Oryzias latipes: one gene and its partners. The protein of the gene in region 5 binds, or shares a complex with, the protein of the main gene of each other region. Links are inferred from orthologs where the notes say so. Each region holds a gene or a part of one and is shown on either strand. Other genes may lie near its edges. The genes, in order: sf3b4, sf3a1, dek, sf3b6, sf3b1, mybbp1a and ddx42.

What was found.
Region 1: sf3b1 (region 5) and sf3b4 share a complex: the UniProt entries of both Homo sapiens proteins name them as parts of the SF3B subcomplex of the 17S U2 SnRNP complex. The link is inferred for Oryzias latipes from reciprocal best matches to the Homo sapiens genes SF3B1 and SF3B4.
Region 2: sf3b1 (region 5) and sf3a1 share a complex: the UniProt entries of both Homo sapiens proteins name them as parts of the 17S U2 SnRNP complex. The link is inferred for Oryzias latipes from reciprocal best matches to the Homo sapiens genes SF3B1 and SF3A1.
Region 3: sf3b1 (region 5) and dek share a complex: the UniProt entries of both Homo sapiens proteins name them as parts of the B-WICH complex. The link is inferred for Oryzias latipes from reciprocal best matches to the Homo sapiens genes SF3B1 and DEK.
Region 4: the proteins of sf3b1 (region 5) and sf3b6 are in contact, whole or in part, in a crystal structure (PDB 2F9J), measured with the Homo sapiens proteins. The link is inferred for Oryzias latipes from reciprocal best matches to the Homo sapiens genes SF3B1 and SF3B6. Residues at the interface, in NP_036565.2 of Homo sapiens: Trp388, Ile392, Arg395, Asn396, Arg397, Pro398, Leu399, Ser400, Asp401, Glu402, Glu403, Leu404, Asp405, Ala406, Met407, Phe408, Pro409, Glu410, Gly411, Tyr412, Lys413, Val414, Leu415; in NP_057131.1 of Homo sapiens: Arg12, Leu13, Pro14, Pro15, Glu16, Val17, Arg19, Ile20, Ala32, Met35, Tyr36, Arg46, Gln47, Ile48, Arg49, Val50, Gly51, Asn52, Thr53, Thr56, Thr59, Ala60, Tyr61, Val63, Glu65, Asp66, Ile67, Phe68, Tyr92, Ala97.
Region 6: sf3b1 (region 5) and mybbp1a share a complex: the UniProt entries of both Homo sapiens proteins name them as parts of the B-WICH complex. The link is inferred for Oryzias latipes from reciprocal best matches to the Homo sapiens genes SF3B1 and MYBBP1A.
Region 7: the proteins of sf3b1 (region 5) and ddx42 are in contact, whole or in part, in a cryo-EM structure (PDB 7EVN), measured with the Homo sapiens proteins. The link is inferred for Oryzias latipes from reciprocal best matches to the Homo sapiens genes SF3B1 and DDX42. Residues at the interface, in NP_036565.2 of Homo sapiens: Pro509, Pro510, Lys513, Arg517, Thr520, Asp557, Arg558, Tyr561, Lys562, Asp565, Leu566, Arg568, Pro569, Ile583, Ala607, Ile610, Ser611, Arg614, Glu622, Arg625, Asn626, Arg630, Pro646, Phe647, Ala650, Val651, Lys653, Ser654, Lys655, Lys656; in NP_031398.2 of Homo sapiens: Asn68, Glu71, Glu72, Tyr75, Phe76, Glu77, Asp78, Glu79, Glu80, Glu81, Asp114, Pro115, Leu116, Glu117, Phe119, Met120, Val123, Ala127, Asp130, Met131, Arg133, Leu134, Gly146, Ile147, Arg148, Ile151, Glu152, Glu153, Glu154, Asp155.

What each region holds. Positions count from the first base shown.
Region 1 is NC_019869.2:7,215,952-7,220,175, forward strand, and holds the start of sf3b4 (splicing factor 3B subunit 4), read left to right. Parts: upstream 1-1,424; 5' UTR 1,425-1,484; coding exon 1,485-1,518; intron 1,519-2,109; coding exon 2,110-2,238; intron 2,239-2,323; coding exon 2,324-2,875; intron 2,876-3,354; coding exon 3,355-3,513; intron 3,514-3,703; coding exon 3,704-3,859; intron 3,860-4,224. UniProt on the Homo sapiens protein: Component of the 17S U2 SnRNP complex of the spliceosome, a large ribonucleoprotein complex that removes introns from transcribed pre-mRNAs.
Region 2 is NC_019867.2:18,886,040-18,890,255, forward strand, and holds the start of sf3a1 (splicing factor 3A subunit 1), read right to left. Parts: upstream 2,801-4,216; 5' UTR 2,778-2,800; intron 2,667-2,777; 5' UTR 2,625-2,666; coding exon 2,577-2,624; intron 2,085-2,576; coding exon 1,975-2,084; intron 1,893-1,974; coding exon 1,688-1,892; intron 1,614-1,687; coding exon 1,356-1,613; intron 1,272-1,355; coding exon 1,197-1,271; intron 1,132-1,196; coding exon 981-1,131; intron 901-980; coding exon 704-900; intron 600-703; coding exon 482-599; intron 378-481; coding exon 70-377; intron 1-69. Other genes in the region: ccdc157 (coiled-coil domain-containing protein 157), read left to right, coding at 2,801-3,165, 3,303-3,453, 3,542-4,216. UniProt on the Homo sapiens protein: Component of the 17S U2 SnRNP complex of the spliceosome, a large ribonucleoprotein complex that removes introns from transcribed pre-mRNAs.
Region 3 is NC_019874.2:32,321,396-32,325,445, reverse strand, and holds the start of dek (protein DEK), read right to left. Parts: upstream 2,801-4,050; 5' UTR 2,705-2,800; intron 1,803-2,704; exon of another isoform or gene 1,545-1,802; intron 1,479-1,544; exon of another isoform or gene 1,245-1,478; intron 1,181-1,244; 5' UTR 1,168-1,180; coding exon 1,095-1,167; intron 1,062-1,094; exon of another isoform or gene 1,026-1,061; coding exon 924-1,025; intron 854-923; coding exon 744-853; intron 685-743; coding exon 590-684; intron 525-589; coding exon 395-524; intron 292-394; coding exon 16-291; intron 1-15. UniProt on the Homo sapiens protein: Involved in chromatin organization.
Region 4 is NC_019882.2:13,000,340-13,003,928, reverse strand, and holds sf3b6 (splicing factor 3B subunit 6), read right to left. Parts: upstream 2,188-3,589; 5' UTR 2,065-2,187; coding exon 2,035-2,064; intron 1,711-2,034; coding exon 1,592-1,710; intron 1,105-1,591; coding exon 966-1,104; intron 870-965; coding exon 780-869; 3' UTR 501-779; downstream 1-500.
Region 5 is NC_019879.2:181,879-186,171, forward strand, and holds the start of sf3b1 (splicing factor 3B subunit 1), read right to left. Parts: upstream 2,801-4,293; 5' UTR 2,703-2,800; coding exon 2,675-2,702; intron 1,632-2,674; coding exon 1,459-1,631; intron 1,334-1,458; coding exon 1,232-1,333; intron 1,149-1,231; coding exon 1,034-1,148; intron 918-1,033; exon of another isoform or gene 1-917. Other genes in the region: ankrd44 (serine/threonine-protein phosphatase 6 regulatory ankyrin repeat subunit B), read left to right, coding at 3,638-3,664. UniProt on the Homo sapiens protein: Component of the 17S U2 SnRNP complex of the spliceosome, a large ribonucleoprotein complex that removes introns from transcribed pre-mRNAs.
Region 6 is NC_019872.2:24,978,417-24,981,916, forward strand, and holds part of mybbp1a (myb-binding protein 1A), read right to left. Parts: intron 3,077-3,500; coding exon 2,969-3,076; intron 2,884-2,968; coding exon 2,693-2,883; intron 2,617-2,692; coding exon 2,449-2,616; intron 2,198-2,448; coding exon 2,080-2,197; intron 1,329-2,079; coding exon 1,039-1,328; intron 958-1,038; coding exon 847-957; intron 780-846; coding exon 654-779; intron 1-653. UniProt on the Homo sapiens protein: May activate or repress transcription via interactions with sequence specific DNA-binding proteins. Repression may be mediated at least in part by histone deacetylase activity (HDAC activity).
Region 7 is NC_019866.2:4,159,531-4,163,707, forward strand, and holds the start of ddx42 (ATP-dependent RNA helicase DDX42), read right to left. Parts: upstream 2,801-4,177; 5' UTR 2,724-2,800; intron 1,910-2,723; 5' UTR 1,903-1,909; coding exon 1,691-1,902; intron 1,618-1,690; coding exon 1,467-1,617; intron 1,207-1,466; coding exon 1,145-1,206; intron 1-1,144. Other genes in the region: strada (STE20-related kinase adapter protein alpha), read left to right, coding at 2,898-2,941, 3,527-3,578, 3,851-3,908. UniProt on the Homo sapiens protein: ATP-dependent RNA helicase that binds to partially double-stranded RNAs (dsRNAs) in order to unwind RNA secondary structures. Unwinding is promoted in the presence of single-strand binding proteins.

The DNA of each region.
Region 1 (4,224 bases), on a different chromosome or scaffold from region 5:
CTCAGGTTTAACAAGAATTAGATGGTAATCTGTCATCATGTTCCTTTTGTCTATTGTAGACTTCATTGTATGTGGTGAGAACACCAGCAGCCGAATGTATGCTCTGTGTCACCGACAGAAGGACCTACAATGCTGCTCTGGTATGGATTGTGTTTGAAATGTAGATGGATCAGGATTCAGTGTTGGTTAGAGGTACAATAAGAAGGTTAGAAAAAGGAGTTTGGAAAGTTTCTGAGCTGCTTTTCCTTTTTTGGTTTGAGATACCACAACTTTACATTGAGAAAATAAAATACAACCTCATAACACTTGTTGAAAAGTAAAAATCTTTATAGTTAGGCACCCTATAAACATGAAGGCAGTTGATCCGGTGGTCTTTTGAAGACGCTTGTGAATGCAGTTTATTGGACTGTCTCTACTTAAAAGATCAGTCTGGATTTAGGCAAATTAAACAGCAGGAGGGCTGGCATTTGTGCAGCACAATAAAAGTTTAGGAATTGGCAACATAAAATAACAGAAAATTATCCAAAAGACTGAGATTAAAGTCTACCATTTGGAATTGTGTTATGTTGATACAACTTTAAGAAAATAGGTAGTATTTGATTGTAAAACCTTTCAAAAACATCTTAATTAAAACTTTTTGGCCTTTACACTTCTTACATAATGGATCTGTAATTTGCTCAGTTACTTGAAACATTTGAAAGATTTCTAATGAGACTTAAAAGGAATGAACAGTTTGACTGAAATAAAAATTTGTTTTTTTCTGCTAAGTCTGTGACTCAAGTTGGATTAGTCAAAAGACTTTTTTCCTTTTTCTTTTCGTTTGATTATTATTATTATTATTTTTAGAAACAATGATTGCAATATCATAAGAGCCATCAAAAAATGATCTGAACATCTTTTTTATTAAGCTTTTGGAGACTTTGACCTATGTGTGTCCTTTTTGTTTCTTACTTTTCTAAATGAGCAGCCATTTTTAGCTCTTAATGTTCATTTTTTTTTAATGTAAAAGTCTCAGCTCTGTACACAAATGCATTTCACTTATGTTATTATTGATCAAGGCTTTTTTAACCCATTTTTATATATGCATTTATAAAATGAAAACATTGGCTTTTTGTGTTTTGAACTTTGTTGCATGACATGCTTTTTTATTTTATTTTGATACAGTATTGTTTTATAAAAATGGTTTTATTATGCCCAAATTGTATTTTGTATGAACAATTTGTATTCCATGTTTATACTTTTAGTAGATTTATATAAAAATGTATATAAATATGTAATAAATTGGTCCGTACAAAGTTTTGAACTTTATCTGGTCTTGTGTTTTTATTGTTCGATGCTATTAAAAAAATAATCTAAAACGAAGCAAAGATATTGTATTTTATTTTTTGAAAGAGGAGTTCATTTTATATTATAACTTCCGGTTTGCTGAACAGGAAGAGGCGGAGCTTCCTACATGAACGCTTCTGGTGCGTTGGTCATTCAACATGGCCGCGGGACCAATTTCTGAAAGAAACCAAGGTAATTTACGGAATTATTACCCATTTCTTTTGACATTTAGCCGTGCATAAATGTATGTAATGTGTAGTAACACCCAACAAGGGCACATTTTTCCTCATAGAGCGAATATGGATCCTAAAATTAGCTAATATTCTTCTGTTGAAACCGGGTAAACACATGGAGTGAAGCGGCTTTAGCCTAGCTTGTAGCTAATAAAGCCATTCTCCCAATTAATCGTTTATCGAATTTGCACTTTAGATGCACGTCCTTTTATATAAGCATTAAGCTGTGAAAAAACGTATACTCATTTCCATTGTTGCAAATCTATAAATAGAAAGAGAAAAAGCAATATTTTATGCCAGGAACTAATACTAAACAACTGCAACTTCTTTCATAATTTAACTTCAGTTCATTGACCTCATTTTATTCTTACCAGGCAGCATGATCATTAAATTTTTCACAGTTTCAACAATGGTTTTAAAAAGAACTAATGAAACTTTAAGTGAACATAAATATGGTCATTTCTTTTTGTAATTCGTATTCATTAACTTGTGTCAGAAAGTGGAAACCTTTGTAGTGTTTTACTCACCAAGCCTGCTCTTGTCTGTCCAGATGCCACGGTGTATGTCGGTGGGTTGGATGAGAAAGTGTCGGAGCCGTTGCTATGGGAACTCTTCCTGCAGGCTGGTCCTGTGGTAAACACGCACATGCCCAAAGACAGGGTCACGGGTCAACATCAGGGTGAGTGCACTTTCAGTTGGTCAACAAGATTGAACAATTATCTTCTTAGAAAATTATCTTTACAAAATTGTTTTTCTTTATTTAGGTTATGGCTTTGTGGAATTCCTCAGCGAAGAGGATGCTGATTATGCTATTAAAATAATGAATATGATCAAGCTCTATGGAAAACCCATTCGAGTCAATAAGGCCTCGGCACACAACAAAAACCTGGATGTGGGTGCGAACATCTTCATCGGTAACCTGGACCCAGAAATCGATGAGAAACTGCTCTACGACACATTCAGTGCCTTCGGTGTGATTCTCCAAACACCAAAGATCATGAGAGACCCAGACACCGGCAACTCCAAGGGTTACGCTTTTATCAACTTTGCCAGTTTTGATGCTTCTGATGCCGCCATCGAGGCCATGAATGGCCAGTACCTCTGTAACCGGCCCATCACTGTGTCGTACGCCTTCAAGAAAGATTCTAAAGGGGAGCGCCACGGCTCCGCCGCAGAGCGACTCCTGGCGGCGCAGAATCCGCTGTCCCAGGCGGACAGGCCCCACCAGCTGTTCGCTGATGCCCCACCACCTCCCTCTCTTCCCACCCCGGTCCTGACCACACTAGGAGCTGGAATGGGTATTCCGGGCATGGGAGGTGGGTGTTACGTCACATTTATGTGAAAATAGTTTTGTTTTTTTAAAGACTCGCTTTTATGAACATTGTCTTTTTGATGTATTTTTGTGGCATTTTTCTGATGATAGAGACAAAGAAAATGTAGCTCAAACTTGCATTTGACTGCAAACTGCAAAAATTAAAAACTGGATTTAAATCTGAAGCAGACAAAAAAAAAGGATTTTTCTGTAGTTTTACATAACTACTGCCATTCCGCAGAAACTATGTTCTAGAAAACAACACAGGATCTTTTGATTTTGGCTAAAAATGGCATCATCACCATCATCATTTTCATAAAAGACCGCTTTGAAAAAAGATCAAAGGATGATCAGTGTGGGACTTGTGTTTTGTGTTAGCCTAAACAAGTGTTTTTACAGATACAAATTAGCAATTAGCTGCAAAAATACAAACAAATGTACCCACAAGTCCTTCAAGTAGATTGTGTTGATTTGTGTGTGCAGGTCTGCCACCTCCTGGTGCCTTTCCCCCTGTTCCTCCCCCCGGATCACTCCCTCCTTCCATGGCCCATGGCATGGGGATGCCTCCATCAGCAGGTGGCCCACAGGGTATTGGCGGTCCAGGTGGACCACCACCCTTCCCGCCTGGAAGTATGCATCCAGGTGAGACATTGTGACTTCTTAAGAGTGGTTTTTGTCTTTCTGTCGGAGGAAATACAGAGGTTTTGAGCCTCAGAGCCGCGTTTACTTTGTTTGGCATCCGCATAAACATCTGAAAGTCAAAGCCTGTTCTCGTTTTAGTATCTAGTTTTTCTTCCCGCCACCTCCAGTTTGATCCGTTTCTGTCACTCAGGTATGCCTCAGATGCCCATGCACCCTCCCGCTCCGCCTGGCATGGTTCCACCTCCTCCTGCTCCACCAGGATCATCCCAACGCGCCCCGCCCCCCAACCTCCCCCCACCCCCGCCTATGGGCATGCCGCCCAGAGCACCATATGGACCCCCCATGGGTGAGTGTTATGACGCCTCTTCATGTCTCTGTCAAATAGAAAAAACACCTGAAAGGAAAAACGGCGTTGAAGGAAGTGTCAGAGTTGGCAGGATTTGGCAGAGACGCTCTGAAAGTGATGTAATGGGGGTTTGGTAAGGAACCAGGTCCGCCAATCATCTCAGTCACTGACTTACATTTATGAAATCACCTGTGCTTGTAGCATCCTAATATTTGAGTTGTTGATAAAGTAAAACTTCAAACAAATACCTACCTTTTCAAACTAAACTTGCTAATGAATTATTGTCAGCTGAATTAAGGATATCCTGATCAGATTCAGAGTCGTTTGGTTTTTAGTTTTGATTTGATCATTTTAGACTTAAACAG
Region 2 (4,216 bases), on a different chromosome or scaffold from region 5:
CAGGTTGATAAAAAAACGAGTTCAAATGATGCTTTTCACAAAAACCATGCTACTTTCTACGGAACTCACCTTCTCCTCTGGCTTCTGGATTTCCTCTTCACCAATCTTCTTACCAATGGCTGTCTCTTCAACACCAAAGATATCAGTACGCCTCTCAGCGAGCTGCTTCAAGCTGCTCTCGATATCCAGACCAGGAGCATAGACTTCATCCTCTGTCTGTCTATCCCTGATGCTGCGGTCTCTTTGTTCCAGCCAGCGTGGGTCCAGCAGACCAATGCGCATGTGCTCCTGCATCTTGCTGGCTGGGATCTTCTCACCAGTGATTGGTGAAATGAGGTACTCATCTGGAGCTGCAACTGAGGGCATAGGCTTGGAGGCTGTGAAAAAAAAAAAAAAAAAAGGAAACAAGTTTTAATGCACCGCTTGTTTTATTTGCTTGTTTTTATACTTCATAATATTTCAATCACAGAAAAAAATGTACCTTTGGGATCATAGTCTTTTCGAATGATGACGTGGTCTGGAGTCGGGGGCAGAGGAGGTGGCATGGGGTTGTCAGGTGGAAGTGGAGCTTTAATTCCATCGTCCTCATCATCTGATCCCTGGAGAAGTAGCATTTTAAATTTGTGAATTTGCTACACAAGTAACCAAGAAACCTAGACAAGTGTTGGACTTTGTATAAATGTAGTAAATGATAACTGTTTACCTCATCCATGTCCTGCACTTGTGTGTCTTGGTCAGGCTGTGAGGGTTGACCTCCGGCTCGTTTCTCCCGTTCATCCTCTTCATCCTCACTCTCAACTTCCATCTCCACCTCCTCACTTTCTCCATACTTCTCATAGCGCTCCTGGATGAGGATTCGAGCACCAAGCTCCTCTGGAGTGGTAGGTGGGGGGAAGTGGCCTTGGAAAAACACCAAATGAATAAATTAATAACTATGGTTCTTGCAACATCTGGACCTGGTGTTCCTATAGTCATGCTACCTTGTTCATTGGGCTGGAAGTCCACAGTCTCCACCACGACAAAGTCATGCCAGTCAATTTGAGCATAGGCTACGCGTTCCTTCTCTCGCTCCTCTTCCTCCTTCTTTCTCTCACGCTCCTGGTACTTTGCCCACTCAACACGGTATCTCACCTGATGTTTGTAACAAGACAGTTTTAAACATAGAAAATAATCTTCTGAAGGCTAAAATAAATTACCTGGTCCATAACCTCCTTTGGATTCTCAGCCTCTCTCTTTAGTTTGGCCAGCAGACCCTTTGGGGGGATCAGAATCTAAAGGTTGAGGCAACATTTAAAAAAGTTCAATAACACAGTTTCAATAAAAAAACAAAGAAAGCTGTAATTTTTGTCCTTTACCTTGGTATATTGTTCCACCAGTTTTGTGAAGTAGTTGAAAAGGCTGTGCTGGGGTCTCAAAAAGTCAAATTGGTAGTTCCTCTGTTCTTTTTGCATGAGCTGGGTGAGAAACTGACGGCCGTTTCGTGCAACAAACTGGGCAGTGAGCTTCACAACATCAAGATCGAATGCAGAGATTGATGGAGGATCAGCTATGAATTCAAACTCTGGAGGCGGTTCTTTGGGGACCACAGTTTCCTGAATCACCTGGGACTGCACCTGATGAAGAAAAGGCAAGTTTGTATAAATATAAACCCTTGTAGGTCCGGGCACAGTAAATAGACAGTCCTTACTTTTTGTGGAAGCTGCTGAGATTGCTGCATAGCCTGCTGCATAACCTTGGGCACTGCGGCGGACGGTTCTTGAGCTTTGCCCTCCTTAAACTCATTGACTTTGTGGCGGTAGTAAGCATGGTAGGGATCGTTGGGGTTGAGGAAATTAAATTTTGGATTGTTGATCTCATTCTGACGGATTCTTGCTTCAAACTCAGGCCCATTCCTGTAAAGTGACAAGTATAGAGTCAAACTACAGATAGCAAACACCTCTTACAGCTGTACGTGACAGTTCTTTGGCAACCAACCTGGCAACAAAGCTCGCAGTCTTGTCAACTATATTACGGACCTCAGGAGGAGGATATATGATGCCAACAATAGGTTTAGTGGCTGGAGTTTCCTCCGGAGGTGTATCATTCTGACAAGAGAAGGTTCAAAGTAAGAATATTTATATTTAAAAATAACATCAAGTACAGTGAAGTTCCTCCTTAAAAATATTATTACACAAACATTATCAATTCACTTATTAATTAATAAGACTTACTTTAGGTAATTCTAAGATACACTGCAACAATTTAAACATTAAACCACTCGATCATTAAAAACCTGAGAATACAACTAACACATTTAGTCTAAACCATATGCAAAGATACCAAATATTGAAGTGCAATCATAGTTTAAGTAATATCTGTTACCTAATTTTATTGACTTTCTCAACTTGGGAATTTTTAGGGCCACACATATAGACGCAAACGTTGCCCCATATGTTTTACAGCTTTATAAACATTAGCATTTAATTTTGGACAGGCTTAGAAAGCTTTGCATAAAGGGGGCGAATTTTATAAGGCGATAAATCATTAAGAAAAGCGACGGATATCTGAGGCTAATGTTAGCTAGTTAGCGTCCTTACCTTGTTGTTAGGCTCAGGCTGAACCATTTGAACAGGCCCGGGCGGCATGGCTGCGTCTTTTTAACGAATCACCAATTTTACCTGAAAACACTAAAGCAACACACATATATTTTGAAATGAATTCTTTAAAAAAAATTCTGTAAGTCAAAAAGTAATAGCTAATACAGCTATAATTCTTTATTTGTCGACGTTAATACTCACCGCGTCTCGTTTTCGTTAACGCAATGGCGGCCAATTACTTCCGGAAATATCCGCTAAGAACTGTGGGACTTGGAGTTAACTGTTGCCAAGGAGACCTCACGTCAACAAGTACTTATAGGCGCCAAATAAGCGTTTTAGACATGAGTTTGTTGTTGGGTCGTCAGGATTCTATCAAGAATCTAAGAAAAGACCTCATCGATATTCAGGGTGCGGTTCTGGACGTGCTCTCCAGAACAGGACCAGTCTGCGCTTCCTCCTGGAAATTCCCGGACAAACTTTCCTGTCATCTAGACATTGTTGCTTTGTTGGAGGAATATGACTTCGTGGCAGGAGAAGATGACTTCAATCAGCATTCCCACATTATTCTCCTGGAATTGATGATTGACAGGTAACCTAATGTTGTATTGCATGTAAAATATATATATATATATATATATATATATATATATATATATATATATATATATATATATATATATATAATGACTTTAAAAGCATCTCTGCATGTTCTTGTTCCCCAACAAGGCTCCTGTTTCTTCTTCAAAGCGTCAGCGTTTATGCTGAACAACAGATGGGGGTCCACAGACCAGAAGGAGCTGCACACAGAGGCAGCATGTCAGTTGGTCTTGTGGTCAGGAATTATTGGGGGGATTTACTTCAATTTGCAGATAAAAAGGTAAAGAAACCTCTTTTTCTAGTAATGCCACAGGGATAAAAACACATGCAAAAGTATTTGACTTTAAATGCCTTTTATGTCTTTTTAGGAACTCTTCAAAAACATTGCAGAAAAGACAAATTCAGTGGAATCTGATGAGTCAAACGTCGAGTCCCCTCTCAATAGATCCAGCACAAGTTGCTCCAGGCATTCTTCCATATCCTGGTCTTCCACAAGCTCATTTAAATTCCTCCCACAAAATAACATCACCATCAGTTCCCCCGAACAAACCTCATTCCATCCTAAAACTGCCTCCCATAATGTCAGCTGCCAGACTGCACAAACGTCCCTCATCCCTTGTGGTACATGTCACCAAGTGCAATCTCTTTTGAGAAAAACTGGAGAATCTTTGATAGATCTGTTTCAAAGTGAAGGTCTACCCTCATCTCTGCAGCCTCTCTCAGCAGTTGTGGATGAGACAGTGAGGGTGGGACATCTGACTCCAGGTGATGTTGCACAGTGGGCCAATGAACAGCTCAGAGACATGCGCAGGCTGGCAAAACACCTGCAGGATGTGAGGGGAACGGTACTGCCCCTCCAAGACAGAGTAGCAGCAGCTGAAACGGATCGTGAGGCCATCAGATCTCAACTAAAAACAGTGCAGAAGGATTTTGAACAACAACTAGAAAAACAGCAAACAAATATAGAACAACTGGAGTTTTCACTGCAGGAAGCACAGAGAAGCGCAAAGCAAACTGAACAAAAGCAACAGGAGGAGCATAAA
Region 3 (4,050 bases), on a different chromosome or scaffold from region 5:
TCAATATTGACTTACCTGCTCTTCATTGTCTGATCTCTCTGAGGGCTGCTCCTCTTCATCAGCAGGTTTCTCTCCGTCAGACTCTGCCGCCGTAGCCGAAGCTCCCGTCTTCTCGTCTTCGTCCTCGTCTTCGTCGTCGCTGCTGGAGTCCATGACGATGGCTTTGGACTTGCTTCCTGTTCTGGACTTCTTGGGGCTGCAGGAGCTGCGCTCTCTGGGCCTGCTCTTCTTCTTGGAGTCCTCACTGGTCAGCTTCTTCTTGGACCTCCTCCTCTTCTTCACAGGAAGGCGCTGAAGGAGGAAGCAGGAGGTGCTGAGAGGAGCAGCTGAAGGAGGAAGGTGGCTCCTCTCCAGAGGAGCCGGGTCCTCCTTGGGGTCCCAGGTCTGGACTCACCTTGCCGCTGTTCTTGGGCGCCAGCAGGAAGCTGAGGATCCTGTGGATGAGGTCGGCGTGGGTGCCCTTCTTCTCCAGGTCCAGCACGGTGCAGACCACCTTCAGCTTGCTGTTGCTCAGGTTGGAGCTCCTGTGGAGACGAGCGGCTGTGGTTTCTGCCAGAGACCAGCGGACCTTCTTCCGGCTCTCACTCACTTCAGCAGCTTGTCCCGTTTCCGGTGGAACTGCTCGCTGTCCGCCTGGAAGGGGAACCCGTTGAAGAGACGCAGGTTCCTCTTCATGGTGGACACCTGGAAGGGATTCGGTCAGCACAACGTTCTCAGCGGACCGGGCCGCCTGTGGGCTTTACCTTCCCGGGTCGGTCGTACAGGATGGAATGGAGCGGCTTCAGGTCTGCTGGCTTCATCCTGCTGATCTGGTGGGCGGTGCGAGGAATGTCCCCCAGCTTGTCTCCAGTACCTGCAGGGCGGGAATCGAACCTGTGGTCAGCTGCTGGTCCACAGTGGTCGGGCTGGCTCCGGCCGCTCACCGTCTCCGATCTTCAGCTTCTCCTTCTGCTTGGGGGCTTGGAGGTCCAGCCTCTCCACCGTCTTCTTGGCCCGCTTCCCCTGGAGGACGTCGCCCCCCCCGGCTGCAGCAGAGCAGACGTTCAGCAGCAGGTACGCAGGTGAGCTCACCTGAATAGCTCCGTCGTCCTCACAGGACTCCGTGGATCCGCTCCGGTCCGGACCCGCCTCCTCACGGTCCTCCTCAGACGCCGCGGAGCTGCCCATGGCGGCGCGAGTCCTGCAGATGATGACATCACCGTTACAAACAATGACATCACACACAGCCTTTGATTTGAGCTCACCGGAACGGACAGAACCAGAGCCGTTCCAGGAGAACTTCTACTCTGTAGAAGAAAACGCTTTGGTTCTGATCCGCGTGTGGTCGCGTTCCAACCGGGTTAGAAACACGATCGGCGGTAAAATTCCATGAAACCGTTTGGTCGTCTTCATCCTGAACATTGCAGACGTTACACCAGCGGGTCACGTTCAAGTCTCTGCTGAGGAGCTTCAGACTAACGTTTTCCAAAGGGAACTTCCATCAAGTGCATGGGCGGGGTCAAAGGTCACAGACACCGCTAACCTGAAACGTTTCCTTATTCCAGGGTAGAATGACAGGACCGGCTGCAGAACCCAGTTCTCCCGTTGGCGGGTCAGTTAAGGCGGAACCTTAAACACCTCTGATCCGGACCCAGAAGACACGGATGTAAAGAACTGGAGGATTTAGACGGATCAGTCGTGATTTTCACTAACATCAGTCCGGACGATCCTTTATTCCAGGATCCGTAGTTTTAGGAGGACGAACTCTGCAGTCCGGACCATCGTTGATGTTTTTATGCATTAAAGTTCATCTGTTGATCCGATTCCAGAGTCGTCTTTTACTGATGAGGTCCTTTTTAGACAAAACCCAAAAAGCTGTGTTGTTTTGTGGGACACAGTTTCTGCAGAGCTCATCAGAAATTCTGTTGTGGGCAGGAACGCTTAAGCCCACCCCCACATCCCATCATCCCTCCGTTAACTCTCTCCTGCTAGCTTACAGCCCCTCACGACCCAACATTAGCAGTGTAACAGCAGCATCAGAGCCATCCAGCCGTCCGGTTCTGATCCAGATTCCAGCTCAGACCAGGAAAACAGAGACGACCATGAATCGGTTGGTCTGCAGGTGGATGATCGGAAAGGGGCGGAGCTTTGAGACTGCGGCCCCGCCCATTGTAGCTCCTACCTCACACCTACAAGCGTTTTCAAACAGTCTTTTTTTTCATCTGCTCCTGATTCACAGCGACTTGGAAACAGAAAAATCCATTTATATCTTAATGTTCTTTATGTCTCCATCATCAAAAACAGCGTTTTTCATCAGAGGGGTTTTCATCCACACAGTGGCTGCATGTATGTCCGTCATCTGTTATTGATAAAGGAAAGGACTCCATTTGGGCCATTCCTACAGACTCCCTACTTTCAGGCGCCACGCGCTCAGTTTCAGGGCGTGCACGTGGGTAGGTGCGCTTAAACAAAAGAAGAAAACTAAGCATAAAGTAGAAAAGCTCAGATCCTAGCCGCGCGCCGCCGGTTAGTTCCCCATTGAGCATGCGCAGAAGAGCTCAGTTCGAAACAAACAATCGTTTGAGCGGCGCGCGCGCGCTGCACGCACTGACTTAACTGCCGTGTGACGCGAACGGCGGCAGTTCGGAGACACGTATAGTAACGGCACGAATCCCGCGAGCTGTGGAAACGTTCACCGTTTCATGAAGACCCGCGCGCGGCTTACCTGTCACTGCGCCCGTTTGATTTCACGATGGCGGTTTCTTTCGAGGGCGGGGCTTACAGCGGCCGCTCTGTTCATTGGACAGTCTTCTTTTTCTGGTTCAGGCGGGTTGGTCCCGCCCCCTACCGGTCTGGAGGACCAGAGGAAGTTTCTTTTTGCTTACATTTTAATTTACTTTATTTATTTTCTTTTATTGAAAAAACACTTGAGGTTTACAGTATTGTGGCAAATAATTCAACACGTTACAATTACAACAGGAATAGAAAAATGTAAACAACATTAAAAAAGTTTAATACAGAAAAATACTTAAAAAGATAAAAAGATTAAAATAAAATAAAATGAGGGGCTCACATGGATATCGTAATGATCAATAACTTAGGAGATTACCTCTGATACTTTGAAGTTCCATCGTTTATTTTCCATGACGTTAACGGATGAAAAAAAAGAGCAGACTTCTTCATGATTTTAAGGAATCGACATTTATGTTTAGAGAATTTACCCAAAAAATTACAACATTTAGAATAAGTTCTGTGTTTTTGTTTTCTAAAATAAACCCAAAAATAATGTCCTTAATAGAAAAATTCTGCTAAACGTGGAATCTTGGGGAAAAGCCAATAATGTAAATTATTCCAAATGACATTAGAAGGAAAACATTCAGAGAAAAGTTGCTCAGTTGTTTCATCTCCACATGAAGAAAACAACAGGTTTCAGGAATTCCAAACTGTTTTCTTAGTAATTCCTTGGAAGGGTAAATACCTGAAAAGGTGTTAAAGTGGACTTCCTTGGCTTTAGGAGGGATGGGGGGGGGGGGGGGGGGGGGGGGTTGAAATATTTAGTTCCTATTTGTTTATTTTCTGAATTATTAAAATATTGGGTTAAATAGTCAGGATTTGAGATGCAGGGAAAATATGTTTCATTCAAACATTCTCTGATGTGGTGGTTGGGGGGTTTGGACGTTGCTGTGTTGTGTCCATTAACCAGAAGCGTGGAGACAGCAGGACGTCTGTAGATGACATCATGAAACAGATCAGAGACTGATTTACAACATTTTGAGGGACGGCATTAATAATGTTTTCAAAATCTTTTCTATTTGAATCATATTTAGCTGTGAAATCATCCAAAGACATGCGAGTAGCATTGTATAGGTAACCCTTGTTCTATCCTAGACACTTTAACGTTGGGAGTGGGGTCATCTAGACCCACTAGACAGTGCTCTGAACCTTTTTTCTTCAATGATTTGTGATCTTCACTGGTGTCCATGGATTACAGGAAATCTTTCCACCTTTATCCACCTTTGTCATGGTAGGAGAACACCTCAATGGAAGGGGGGGGGGGGTCATCTAAGATAG
Region 4 (3,589 bases), on a different chromosome or scaffold from region 5:
GAGGAATTTTAAAACAAATGGATAGTCCCATGTAAAAATATAAAATATGATAAAGTGGATAAATTAAAGAATTCAAAATAAATAAAAACTATTAAAACATTTGCTAAAAGGCAGTTGAAAAAGATGGGTCTTGAAGCTTTTCTTAAAAGCAGCTATGCTCTCTGCAGCTCTCAGGTCCTCTGGCTGACTGTTCCGTAAACAAGGGTGTACCCCACCTTTGCCCTACAACAGCTAGGATAGGCTCCAGCAACAAATATAGCAGGTTAAGATGGATGGACGGAAAAGACTGAATGACGGTCAGCTTCTCAAAAGATACTTTTCTGTTTGTGTGTAAATGTGGGGGAAAAAAGAAAAATTAGCTGATGTGACAGGTTTACAAAACAAGAGTAAAGTGAGTTCATATGTGGTGTTTATAAAACAAAAGACAATGGGTTTAAAGAAAAAGAGACATTTATTTTACAATAAATGGGTTTAAACAAACATTACATCCATTGATGTTCTTGGAGCACAAGGCAGAGACCTGTTAACTTTCAAATAAAATTATGTGGGGGGGGGGGAAAGAACTGAACTGAAAACATGCCTGGTTTCACTTCAAATTAAAAGCTCAATTAACATCAGAGAAGTCATTTTTAAAAAAAGCAGACGGCAGGTCATGCATAAAAGGTTGACAAAAGCACCAAAACAAAAACCTGACCAAGCAAAAATTTTCAAAAAAGGGAACATTTGTACAGGTACAGAGAAATCTAAGGTGTGTGAGAAGGTTTTGATAGTCGTGGAGATCATTTGGGAGGGTCTGTGTTGATGCCGTATTTCTCTTTTAGGAGCTTCAACTGCTCTTCCTTCTTCTTTGTGTCCATTTTCTGGAAAGCCTGCAAAAATATGAGCGGGTTGATGGTAAACAGAAAAAAACAAACAAACAAGGAACCAAAAAGGTTGTAAATGGATGAAATAAAAAGCATACGTACTCTGTTGGCGTTGTAGTAAAGAACAACCAGGTAACGATTGCAGACGTTGAAGCCTGACAGGTGATCGCAAGCGTTCTTGGCATCAAATATGTCTTCATAAACAACATACGCCGTTCCTCTGCTTTCAGGTGTGTTACCCCTAAAATACAGCAAAAGCATGAAATGGTCACACATCTTAACCTGTTCCATAATAATATTGTCCTTAAAGACCCACTCTGATGAAAACTGTTTTAAAACATTTTCTCATGGCATTTTTCTGATGAAGGACAACATATATGAAAGAATATTGAGCTTATTTACATATTTATTTTATTGTCTGAAAACATATGAAAAAGTGATCTAAGAGGGACTCTTAAATGATGATAACATGTGAGGGGAACAAACAAAACAAGCATTTTTAATATGATTAATAATGATTTAAATGTCAAATTTAAGCAAATGCTACACCACAGTTTGGAATGAAACGATTTTTTAAATAAATTTTGCTTCTCATTAATACTACCATGTAAAAAAATTACATTTATATATATTCATTGTTAGTAGACGTGGTTGTGTGTTTAGGACAGACATTTTTTTAAATTAAAAATAAACAAATAAAACTGAAGGTATGAAGACAAAACACTTACGTTCGTATTTGACGTATGGGTCCATATTTGCCAAAAATGTCGTACATTTCCTCAGCCGTGATCTTGTAAGGCAGATTTCTTATGTATAGGATTCTGTTCACCTCTGGAGGTAACCGAATCTGCAGCACACAAAAAAGAAATGTGTAACAGAAAGACTAGCATGTAAACAAACGGTATAAGAATTCTTCACTAAAGTGTACCCTCTAACGTGCTAAAACAATAATAATTCTTTAAAATTTTAAGATGACAAAACAATCAATTTTACCATCTCATTTTCAAAATGCCGTATTTATTAATTTTTTTACGTAGCGACGCTATCTTTTAGTAACCAATAGCTGCTAAAGGCTAACGGAGGGCTAATTGTCCCTTTCGTGAGCACCAAAAACCATATTAACATATACTCGTTGTTATATAGTAAAGTTAAACACAAAAATTGACCTTACATTAGCGCGTTTCGCAGCTTGCATAGCCATGATGACAGTTTATTTCGTCTGAACAATAGCTAAACAACAAACACGCAATGCCTTTAGCCTTCACCAGGAAATGGAGGGACAAAACGAAGACGAACATCCGGTTAACGGATAATACCAATAGGTACAGCAATAGGCATGTGCTTCCCTCGTGTGGTTAAAAGAGGAATCACACACATTTTGAGATACTATTAACACAACTTTTTTTAAATTTCTTTGTAATTCTGTTCTTTGACCTAGAAAAAATCAACATGGCCATGAAAGTGGTTTTGTGGTTTCACAAGACACAAGAAATAAAAAGACTTATGTGTACCTCTCTCATCAAAGTGTTGTGCAATGAGATATATGTGTAGGGAAAAGTAAAATTACTTATAAACATCAATAAAATGCAAAACAGTTTTTTTTGTCATTTTTGTGTTAGGAAATTCCCTACACTGACAAAATCTATGTATTTAACTTTTTTGGAGAAAAATATTGGAGATTTGAGCACTAGTTAGAATTGCAGTTTGACCTGTTTACCCACAATTGGGGTTTTGGCGTTAAAATGAATCTACTCCCCTTTTGTGTCTTTTTTTTCTTTAAAGATAAAATCCAAATTCTATACATATTTATGAGGGGGAAGTTAGTAAAAATAACCATCTCTCATAAAAAAACAAACAGAAAACAAAGCTGTGCTTTTAATTTCTTTAAAAAAATACAGTCTAAAAAAGATCTTAATTCAAAGTACTCGATTCCTCTTCTTTTGTGACATTTAAAAAAAAAGCGAGATGACAATCACCTTTATAAATCTAACCACAAATAAAAAATATTTTTTCTCTAAAATGTTCGGAGAAAAAAAACTATATATAGAATATTAAATAGAATTGTGATAAAGTATTACAATATAAAAGAGGAAAAATAAACGACGACATGAGAATAAAGTCATAAAATTATGAGAAAACAAATCAACATGGGGTAATGATTTGTTGAACTGTTGTGCTTTTATTTTCTGCAATTAACAGGTTATGGGTTAAAGAAACGAAAAGAAAAGAAAAAGTATTAGTGCGCAGGCGCCATGTGGGATTTGATGATTCGGTCCGGTAACGGTTGCAGATTACGGCGGGAGTTTTTCCAACGGCAAACTGGCGTCTCTCGAGGAAAATCTAGAAGGGACGTTTTATTGAAGTCTCGCGACGTGGAAAAAGATCGACGGTTGAAGACCAACTCGGCGAGGAGAGCTTTCTTAGTCTGAGATGAATAAACGGGTGAGTTTTAGTTTAACATTTTTTGTAAACCAAAACGATAGCCGAACTCCTCGTATTGACTTTAGTTGTTTTTTTTTATTCGCAAAACGCCCGTTTACAGAAACCCGTCCTCAATGGCTAACCTAGCTTAGCCAGCGGACTGTGCTAGCTGCTGACGGTCCGATTGGATAAATTGTTTAAGTTTTGACCATAGTTACGACAAAAATTGTGAAGTCATAAAAATATATAAGAAAGTAATAATAATAATAAACTCATTGTAGGACTGACAATAGAAAAAAACGTAT
Region 5 (4,293 bases):
GCACTGCTCAGTCTGTACTCTCAGGTCTTTGACTTCTTTTTCAACATCAACATGAAGACATGTAGTCAAAGGCTTTAAATAAATGCTTGGTCTCTGAAGAACCAAATCAAAGAGGCTGCTGGGGGTGGAGGTTTGCTGTAGCTGCGCTGATTCCCCTCACAGCCCCCCAAACAAGCAGCCCGTGGACCCTGACCAAACTGACAAGTGCACAGTGTCCCCCATAACCTACACAGGATGAGTTGCTGCACCCTTAACAGAGTGCAGTACAGGACTGGCAAAGCAGTACTGCTGTAGGAGAGAAATTAAGGACAGTTAGTATGGGCCTGTGGTATTGGTGTACACAACGTTTCTTGATCACATTTTTCTATTTTACAGACTTGTAAAATAAAAGTATATATTTGCAAAACAACTTTGAACAAAGAACTGCCTTCACATGCAGGTTTGACGCGGCCTAAGCACACCTGACGGCCCCGGGCCGGTCGGCGGCAGCGAGGCGTTACCGTGAGCGGCTTACAGCAGCATTCACGGGCGCTGCAGAAGCTCACCCTGAAAGCTGGAGCAGTTCAGAACAGACTCTGCTTGTCCAGCTTGAACGCCTGAATTACCACAGGACACCTGGATGTCCGGAAACGGGGCAAGTCAGACTTTAAAGGGGCAAATTTAAAGCAATGTTTTCTCAAAGCACGTCTTACAAAAGTAAGAAGGTGCTGCTGAGCAAATGCCCCGTTGAGGGTTCAGACTCAGGAGGGTGGTCGACTGCGCCCCCGTGCACGCCGTTTACCCTCACATGCTGTCCACTGTGGGGTTGTTAACCCTTCGACCCATGCCTGTTCAAACCCTCTTACACTGACAGTGGGTTTAACAAAGGAAGGTTTCAGTCTACTACACTGTGGTCGAAGGGTTGAACAGAAAATCTACCTGGATGAAGCCACTGGCTTTCTTGGAAGAGTCATAAGAACCACGAAAAACACAGAAACAGAACAAAGAAGTGAAACTGAGGCATCGAGGCAGGATAAAAAAGGGTGACATTTACCGTCTGCAAAGGGGTCAAGGCGCTCAGGCGAAATGATCATCTGTCTGCGACGAGCTTTGTATTCATCTTCCCGATCTGCGATTTTCGGCGCGCGATGCTCTGCGAATGGGTCGTACTGCAAAATGGAGACAGAAATGAGGCTCTGATCCAAAGTCCTGGAAAGAAGGTGCACCTCCTGTCATGTTAAGGAACACATACATGTTCATCTGACTGGGGAATGGAGTTGAGCATTGCCACTGGTGCATGGTAGCCTGGCTTCTTCTGTCCCAACAAACTTGTCGATGTGTCATCTTCATCATCCTAAAGACAGAAAGAGAAACAAGAGTCTAGTCAAATCTCGCCAAAGCGGCAAGACTCTCCTAGCTCACACAAGACAAGCACGGTGGGAGCAGACTGAAAACTGCAGGTAAAACATCTTTACTTACATCTTCCTGCTCATTGGCTGCAATGGAAGTGACATATCCCACAAAACGACCGTCGCTGCCTCCATAGATCTCCTGGTCGTAAAAGCCAGTGGAGTCCAGGCCCACTCCCTGACCTGCATCCTCTTTCAGGGAGGCCTTCATCCCCTGGATCTCCAGGATCTGCGCCTCAATATCTAAGCACCCAAGTAAAAATACATGTGGGAATGAATATACATTACATTTTTCAACAATATTTTATTGTTAAAACTGGATTTGTGGCCATGTGGGTTTTTCGTAAAAATAAAAAACCACAACAAGTTATGGAAAGCTTCAATGTCAACAATTAATGACACTTTTTTTAGTCAACTTCATTAGTTACAAATAGCAAAGCTGTAGAAAAATGATCTTAAGTCGCATAATAAACGGGGGGGGGGGACTTTTGAGTTTTTTGATTGACTTTTTAATTGAAATCGGCTAAATTTGTAAATGTAATTTCATGCAACAAGCGCGCTCCTGAACAGTTTTCTCGCTTAATGATGAATCAATCCTGAACAGCAGCTCCAGCCTGGTCTTTTGTTTACACACCAAAAGCTGAGCCTGATCGCTCCAGCACGCGCCCATTGCTGATCACACGTTAAACGAAAGATTGGGCTTTTGTTACAAACGCACGTTGCTGACATTCATCCCGCGGTTCTTCGTGAACTAAACGGCCAGGTTTGCACCCAAAACACCGCAGACTGGTTTCGATAGGATGATCGGTTCTTTGCCACAGAAGAACCACAAAGATTCACACAAAACCGTTTTGCACTGCAAAATCGTTCATTTGCACTGCAAAAACATTTTGTGCAAATAGCACGGCGAAGTTGGTCACGCTGCGTGTTCGCGTTAAATATGCTAATCTACAGGACAAAGAAAACCAAACAACTGCAGATAACAAACTAACAAATAAAATACCAATATACACAGAACTCAACGGCTTAGCGCAGTAACGTGAACTATTTCACGGTAGCAAAGGTGCTGTGTGAGGCTTCAGCTCGCTTGCTAGCAACCGGCGCCATTATGTAAAATGTCCGCGTTGCGTCGTCACAGGCCGCCTCGTTTTTTATGTTTTTGTCGGCCACAAAGCACAACTTCAAAAAACATTTGACACCACAAAACGCATACATTATTTAAAAAAGCAAAAGAGCTGAAGAGAGGGCCACACACAACGTATTCACAGGTTTTCGTGATATTTTACCTTCGTGTGTTTTGGCGATCTTCGCCATCTTGACGGTGGTTGTTCGAGACTGACACCGGAAGTGCGTCACCTCTTCTTCCGCCTCTTTTAGCCAGCACGACAGAGAAACGTTATTATTATTATTATTATTATTATTATTATTATTATTATTATTATTATATTAAGTCAGCTTTATTTTTAAATGTACTGAATTTTACAAGATCTACAGCACAGATGAAATTTCTTTCCTCTCAACCCACTGTGCAAACAGCCTATAAAAAACAGCAACAATAATAATAAGTATTATAATTATCATTATTCACCTTGTTGAATAATGATTATAAGTATGTATTTTTCTCTATTATTGTATATAATTTTTTAACTTAACTTTATTCATGTTTACGCTCACTGCCCCCTCAGCGGCTCATCACGCGTGGCCGCTAGGGGCAGCCGCGAGCGGCGCCCCGCGCGTGGCCGCTAGGGGCAGCAGCGAGCGGCGCCCCGCGCGTGGCCGCTAGGGGCGGCAGCGAGCGGCAACCCGCGCGGCCGGTGATGCTGCTGAGGAAGCTCCACTTCTGAATCTGACAGGCGGACGCTGCCACTTCCTGTGCGCTCTGCCTTCAGCCCGCTGTCTCCCCAGATCCCTTCACTGCACCCAGGGCGGACGGAGGCTTCCGCGTGCTCCGTAAAGCTCCCAGAGCCGCGCGGCATCTCCGACCAGCGGCAGCCGTAGATGCGGGTTGTTTGCGGCGGCGGCTCAGACCTGTCCCGCCTCCCTTTGACTCTGCGCGGCCGCCGCGTTCTAGCGGCGCCGCGGATAGCGTCCGTGGAGCAGGGCTGATGGCCGTGGAGCCCGGCACGGCCTTCCTCACAACAGCAAGCACCGGTTACCCACGAGCCTCGTAGACGCCGCTGCAGCCCCGGTCCAGGCGGACGCTTGCCGCGCAGCATCGCTCCGTGCAGGTCGCAGCGGCTGACCCAGAGATGGCGGTCCTCAAGCTGGCCGATCAGGTAGGGTGCGCTAGCCACCGTTAGCTTAGCCTCCGAGGCGCCGCTCAGCATCCCGCCCGGGTCAAAGCGGAGCTCGGTTCCGCCTCTGAGGGGACGGACCGCGGCGCAGACGGAGAAGAAGAACTTCCGCAGAAAAAAGTTCAGCTCGGAAGGTTTTCACCGCTCATTTCAAGCGGAACCTTTTCTTCATTGATTCATCTGATAAAAACGGGTCTGTGGGCTAGAACTAAACCAGAACCAGAACCAGAACTGCGGGGGAAACAGGCAGAAGCAGAAATAGAGGAAAACCTCCAGTGTCTCACTTCAGTGTTTGTGTCATCATCACTACTGATAACCGCAGATGTTACTGACAGCAGGTCTGAAATGTGAGGAATGCTGCAGGTGACATCCTGGCTCCTCCCCTCACCTGCATCCAGGTGTTGGATCAAAGACGGCAGCTGTCCTCAGAAAAGCTCAGTGGCACATGAAGGTGCTCTGCTGGGGTACCTGATGACGTCACAGTTCTTCAGGAACAGCTGCCGGTAGGCCCCTCAAAGAGTGTGCTGTCACACCGTCTTCCCTGGGGGGTCCTCACACTACAAGAGTTTGGAGAGGAGGGTGCAGCTCTCTGATGCCACCAAGGGCCCCCA
Region 6 (3,500 bases), on a different chromosome or scaffold from region 5:
ACATCCAAAGAACTGCGGGCCTCACTTAACTCAATTACGGTCCGTGTTCATGACTCCACCAACAGAAAGATACTGGCCAGAAATGACCAACATGGTAGAATTCCAAGACCAAACCACTGGTGAGCAAAAACATTAAGGGTCGTCTCATTTTGAAGCTCAAAGAGTGAAATTTGGACAAATCCAGAGAATTTCCTAAAAACTTCACCTCAGATTAGTTTTTGCAAACTTCAGAGGGTTTCACGTTTGACTTTAACTCAGAGCTAACTATGACTGAGTTTAGGAAAACGGGTTCAAATCAGCATGAAAACAAACCAAAAAAATACTTCTTGGATTAGTTTTTAAGGTCATAACTCTTTTCCTGATTAATAAAAGTTCCAGCTATGTTCAGTTTAAATGAAATGTTTTTCTGAAACGGTCAAAAAGGACAAATAAATGTATAAGCTAAACTGTTCAAGTAGCTCGGAATTGTTTATCAGATTTACTAAAAATCTCTCAGTTTTAGGAATAGAAATGAAAGATAAAAATGTCTTTTCAGTTACAGAAACATTAAAAACTTTTGTGGAATCTTGCAAAGAAGATCGGTCAGAATCCCCTTCAGTTTGTCAGAAAACATTTTCTTTTTCTGACGGTGAGGAGAAAAGCTTTAGACTTACCCGAAGAAAGAATTGACCAGCGCCCCCCTGGTTTTATCATCCAGGGAAACGGAGAGCGTCTCTTGGGTCTCTTTGATGTCCTGAGAAACCTTTTTGGTGCTGAAGAAAGCGTGAAAAAACACAAACCTGGAAAGAAAAATCAGTTCAGATTTCTCCTCGCTACCTCCTCATCGTCACAAAGAGCTACTCTCACCGGGCCACATCCATGATGAGAGCCTCCTCCTTCTTCACTTGATGGTTATCGATGATTGAACAGAGTCGAGCAACGAGCCACTTTCTCAGGCGGGACACAGGAGTTTCCATCCTGGGAGAAGACGAGCAGCATTGTTCCACGCTTCCATTTCTCTGCATCACAATTTGCATGAATCTTCACGAACAAACTCACTCTGGCTGTACTTGTTGCTTGTCCTTCTGCTTGCGTGTGCTGAAATCCAGCAACTTTGTCATCTGAGGTTGCAGAAACATGCTCCTGAGCCACGCCACGTAGCTTTGCAGAGCTGCAGGCTGCAGGTGCTGCACCACCTTCCACACTGATGGCACCACGGGGTAGCCGTTGTTGGTCAGCGAGGAGAAGGCCACCACGACGGCGAGCTGTTTATCCGAGTCCTGGCAGTCCCTCAGGAAGTCCGACACGTATTTTTCCATCTCTGGGGCCAGTTTGAAGCGATCTGGTTTCTGGAAAAAAAGGAAAATGAAGAAGGAGTTCTGAGGAAACTCAACTCCAAAAGTTTATTTATGACACAATAGTTCAAGCAACGTAAGAATATGACCATAAACAGCATAGGCAGCAAAAATGACCAACGTTCCTGTCGCTGGTCAACAGATAAAAGTGATTTTTAAAGCTCTATATGTATTCTCTTCATATTTCAGGCATGAATACATGGGGTCAAATCAGGATTGGCTTGTGAAGGAAAAATCAGATTGACTGGTTTCTCGTGATAACGACATCTATTATCACGTCATCATGAGATAACAAATGTCGTTTTGTCATGATAAAGACTACACTGTGGCGTCCATCTCTCTCTTTCCCACACTAAGATGCCGAGATGTAATCTGTTTCAAGTCCCTTTACTTTTAACCTGGACCAGCCAATAAGGAGCTTCAATGGCAGGTAGGTTGGAAAACATGTACGACGTTCAACTCGGTCGTCATTTGAGGAAAAGGTTGGCCCGGCTGCACCTACAGTCTAGTGATCATGTGGTTGTTGTCGAGTTCATTAGTGATCAGAGGACAGAATGATGCATGAGAGGGGCAGGCAGGAATGACGGCATGTCACTCAAGACTTGGTCTTTTATCAGAAGAAAAAAAAATTAGGGTAGGCCGCTTTCAGCTTCCATGAAACAGTTTTAAATTAAAAGTAACAAAAAAAATTGTGATTTTTTTTTTGCAGTTTAAAAAGTTCAAGCCTTGTGATTTGAACACTGACCTGAGCAGACACTACATGTTCTCCATAGTGCATCATCACTTCTCCGGATAGAACCTCCTTCAGCTGGGATAAGGAGAGCAGAGGCAGGGCGCTGCCGAGCAGCCGGAAGCTCAGGTAACTGACAGAAACGGGAGGAACACAGGACAGCAAGTCAGCACAAACGTTCTGCAGAGATGCCAGAAGCAGCTGTGAATGGAAAAGTCCGAGCTTTAATCACCTAATCACATGTCAAAAACTAAAGGTCATTTATATCAGCGGTTCTAAGTGAAGGAAAAAAATCAAGCAGAAACAGCAGAAACGGACGTCTGCAGCAGATCACTAAGAACCTCTTTTGACTTTTCACCTTTCTCCCTTTAGGTATGAACTCACTGAGTCGGCCCGGACGGCTCCTTGAACATGCCCTCGGTGACGGCTTTGTTCCAGAAGAGCTGGAAGCTGTCTTCCTTCAGAGAGAGCTTCAGGAGGTCCAGGGCCACCGCTGGGAGAATCAGCTCCTTCTTTACCGAGTGCGCCGCCATCTTCAACACCTCGATCAGCCTAACAGGGACGTGGATCAGACGTTTCATTTGGGTCAAACGTGACCAATGGGGAGAAACCTTCACGGAGCTCCTGCCTGGGGACGTTGTCAGCATTGATGATGGTGGCCGAGCCCAGCAGCTTCTTCAGCTTCTTGGGTTTGAGCGATTGCGGGAAGCGCTGCAAAGCCACAAGCAGCAGCTGCAGCTGCTCTGGAGTGTTGAAGGCGGACGCCAGGTCAGACTTCAGGGCGCTCAGCAGGACCTCCTCAAACACTTCCTCTGGGATCTGATGGACGAGACGGCATCATGATGGTAAACGTTCAGATTGTAGTAATGAGTAGTTAAAGGAGTGACAGAGCAGCAGCTGGTACCTCTGTGAGGATGTCCATGATGGTTTTGGTGGGCAGGTCCTTCAGGTGTTGTTTGTGCGGGCTGAGGCTCTGGAGGAGCTGCACACATGCGAGCACCACCTGCGGCTCCTGTAGACACACAATGCTGAGACCACAACACAAAAACCTGTCTCCCCCCCAATATAGCTGTGATCTTCAAAGACCCACTCCAAACATCTTTTGAGAGATTTTCAAAGTGTCCCCAGTGGTCTTTTAATTATGATTATGCTGCTTGTAGCCAAAATGTAAAAAAAAAATCTGTTGTTTTGTAGGACATAGTCTCTGCAAAGCAGTAGTGGTTTATTAGAAATTCACCTCTGAGTTGTTATAAAACACCAAGAACACAATTTTCATTGAAGCGGTTTTTTATGGGTGTATTCAGACTGGAAAAGACCGTTTGTTCCAGACCCAGTCCGCTTAATTTTGTCCGGATGGAGTCCAAAAGTCTTAATACCCCCTTAATTATGTGAAATCTGTTGCTTTTTTTCTTATTTACTTCTTCTCTTTGACAATG
Region 7 (4,177 bases), on a different chromosome or scaffold from region 5:
AAAACTTCCCTGCGGCTTGTTCATACACCAAAGGAAGCCCACACCCCACCACAGCTAAAACGAGTCAGCTTACCTGAGTTGAGCCACATGTCAAAAAGCATAGATTTTTCACAGTAGTGGCTGTGAAACCTTAGTAACTGACATTTTAAAGTGTGGGCAGGAGGTGGGTTAAAAAAATATGTTTTACGTATTTGTATTAACGCTCTCAATTTTATTACGTTTTTATGGCGTAAAATCAAATATTTGGAACGTCAACTTTTTTGATTGGATTGCATCTTAATCACAAGCTAAAAACAATAATTTTAGAAGTCATTTTTACAAAAGAAAACATAACCACAAACGTCTTTAACTTACATTTAGATTGATGTTTAATAGGATCATAAGCACCTTTTAAAAATAAACACTTTCTGCAGTAAACAAGTAAACAAGAATCTGCGTGCTTGTCTCTCTGATCAAACAAATTAAAGACACAGAGGAAAGGGTATAAAAAAGATTTTTTCAGAGTGAATTGAATTGAATTTGAATTGGTCACTAGATATTTTCTCCAAAATCAGATCTTGTCTCTTTCCGGTGTGCTCACCTGCAGCTTTACTAATCTTTAGCAACTGTCCAGAGACAGAGCAGTGTCAACCTTGGTTGCATTTCTTTCCACGACAGTCCTATGAAAGGGCTTAAAACTGAGTATTGTAGTAACTACACTTTTCCAAATATCTGTTTATTTGAGTTTAGAGATCACATTTTTTTGTAGCTATAAACTAAATTGACTAACATTTTATTTCCTTCCTTTTAGTGATGAAATTGACTTTTAAACGCAGGAAATACTGGTGTGTTGTTTTGAACTATTTTATCTTTCAGATTTCTAGTGTTACAAAACTAAATGTTTTGTTTAAGGCATCAAGTTTTCAAACTTTTTAACTTGGACTGCAAATAAAAAAAACATAAAAAATAGGATTTTACAGTTATATTAATAAACAGCTAGAAATATACAATTAATTTTGCGTTAGCTACAGAGGTTATGCGATTAGTCACGATTAAAAATGTGCATCAATTGACAGCACGTGTGTTTTTGTATGTATGAATGCTCATGCAGAACGTGCACGTGTTTACATATGTCTGTATGCTTAAATAAATAGCTGAGTCTTACTTGTTTGCCTTCTTCTCTTTCTCCTTCTCCTCCAGTTTCTGCATGTCTTGAGCTGCTTGGCTCTGTGACCAAAAAAACAACAACAAATTTTACTTTCACATGATAATACAATTAAAAACACGTTCTTGGACCCCCAAGACACAGTTATTTGTAGGTTGTTGGGAAAAATAGCTTAAAAATAGCTTTAAAAAAAACTGTTTTATGGTCAAACTCGTAGATTTTGTGGCTCTACATTAAGGAAGGCTTTAGGCATTTTAATGTAGACTCAGTGCTGATTTGACATTAGCGGATCAGTAACGTTTCAGCGCAATTTTCATCTCACCTCAACCTCTGCCATAAAGGCATCCAACGGGTCATCTTCACTGTCCGAGCCTCCGCCTGCCTTCATCTGCTGCCGTGTTGGGGAATTTTCGGCTGGAATGTAAGGCAGATCCACATTGCTACTGGACTCTTCTTCGTCATCTTCAAAATACCTAGAGTGGAAAGATAAACAAACCTAAAGTACAGCTGATATCCGCACAGTTAAAGGAGATGCACTTCACTTACGCATTTTCCTCGTCAAAATTGGCTCGTTTAGTCCCTATTTTGTAGAATGACGGAAGCTGCTGGCCTTTCCCATATCCCCCAGTCGATCCAGCGCCCCCAAATGTTGTGTGAGATTTGTGAGGAAGGCTGGACTCCTCTTTCTTCCCTGCCAGGGAAAAGCCTCCAAAACCAAACCCCCGCTTCACACCCGAACCACCTTTATTCCAGTTCATAGCTTTCCTGTAAATAAAACAACAAAACATGTTGGTTTGATAAATATTACTTGACAAGACTTGCATTATCTGGATGAGCAGAATCTTTAAATATGTCCAAATATGTTTAGTTAAAATAACATAAAATCATGTAAGAAAATATGTTCATTCTGTTTTTATTTTGGCAAGGAACAGCATTCTCATTAATAATAAAAGCGCCGAGTTTTATCCCACATCTACTTTGCCAAAAATCCTGCTCCACGCTTGCTGCTGTTTTTTTTTTTTTTTTTTGTGTGCTCTTTTGGGGGGGTATTTAACAATACATAATGTATTTATTCATTAGGACTAAATCATTTACAATTTCTCCAATTTTATTTACTTGCGTGAGACTATATCACATTTTTGCTGTCACTTGTGTAACAAAGAAAGCCATCAACAATGTACAGATCAACAAGGTATCGTTCGTATGTGGGCCGCCTAACCCTGCGTGTTTTTATATTCCCCGGGCTAGCCTAGGCTAACGTGACATCGTTCTCGTAAAAATAAGCAATTATATAACAACAATAATTTTAAATTACAATATTTTAGAGCAGATACATTCTTGCCAGTTAAACCTTACTATTGTTTAACATTGCAACATTTAAAGTAGACAACTATTTAGAATGTGACAGAATTAGCTTAAGAGGTAGCTAACTTAAGGCCGCTGCGAGGCCGAGACGAAAGTGCAAAAACATTCCAACGCTGATAAACGAACTTAGTTTATATTTTGGAGGACAAAATCATTTTTGAATGTATGAATGCATCACAAATGTGTTAAAAACGAACAAAACACACATATTTACCTGTTTAAGTGACAAAAAAAGCTTCCACTAAAATCAGGGATGCTTGCGTCATCAAAGGGCGTCCACTTTTCAATGTGGGCGGGTCGTCGAAGGGGCGCGACTCGGTGACCAATCGAGGAAAAAACATCCCGCCAGTAAGGATGAATTTGTGAAGACGACAAAAAAGACGGATTTATGATAGTCTCACTTTTCCAAGCATCAATTTATGCATTCAAACCGTAAGTTGTAAATGCAGAAACGGTCTACCACACCACTGTTGTCGCTACTTTAGCTAAGCTGACGTCGATTAGCCTTCGTTCTCCATGGCTAAGAGAGAGTCTTGTTCACTGACTGAGCAAATCGACACTCAAGTCTTTGCACGTTGCTTTATTTTAATTTTTATTATTATTATTTTACTCTGTCTGACGTTGAACATTGGTATTTTTTTGTTACATTAGTAGGATTAATTTAAACATGGCTGTGTTTGGCCTAAATTATCAAACTTTCTGATGAGCTGTAATCATAAAGTCATTACTGCTAGACTAATTTGCTGTTTTAGAAGTAGAAAGTTGGTAACATTTAGTTTTTGTTTGCTTTGTGAGCCATTTGGTTCAATGTTGCAAAACCAAAACATGGCCCAATGAGTTTGGAGTAAATGTTTATAACTGGCGCCTCACAGCTTATTATGGATTTCTTAATTTTGTTGTCAAGGATTTTTAAAGAACTGCTTAGTCTTAATAATTATTTCGTTACTTTTGCGTAAACATAAAGATAGTGGAGCAAACACAAAAATCTTCAATGTGTTTCTGGCTCTTTCTTTGAAGAGAAACCTCACCTACACTAACTGCAAACTCAGGAGGATCCATGTCTTTTCTTGTAAGTGTTTTCTTTAATTGTGGATTTGATTTTTTTCAAATAAATAAATGTAAAACAAAATCTAGACATCCCCAGTTTTCATAGAAGGATGGATTCCTCAAAAGTTAAACAAGATGAATTAAAGTACTTCACTTCCCTTACAATGTTACTGTTATGTTTTTGCAATTGTAGTTAATGGCATATTTATGTTTATATTTCATCTAATATTTTCATATTCTTGTTTGCATTTCTTTCCTTTTTCATGCTCATTGTTAACCTTCTGTGTTTGTCAGCGCTGGGTATCTGAGAAATTGAGCGTGGAGAGTCTACGGGATTTGGAGTTATTTCGAGGTGAGATTCAAGCTGAAAGAATTCATAAACACAAGATCCAGAACTTTCAAAAATAATCAAGAAAAAAAAAACAACATTTTGTAATCAAGTCCGCTTATCTCTAAGTTTGAAGTGTAAAATCATGTTGAAATGGTTTATTGTTTTTTTTTTAATAATTCTTTAATAGATTAAATTCTGACACAAAAGCAAACAAATGCTGCCCTGCTTTCCTGCATCTTTTGCGCAGTTAATGCAGCAGATCATTATTTAAAAAAAAACAAAATATATAT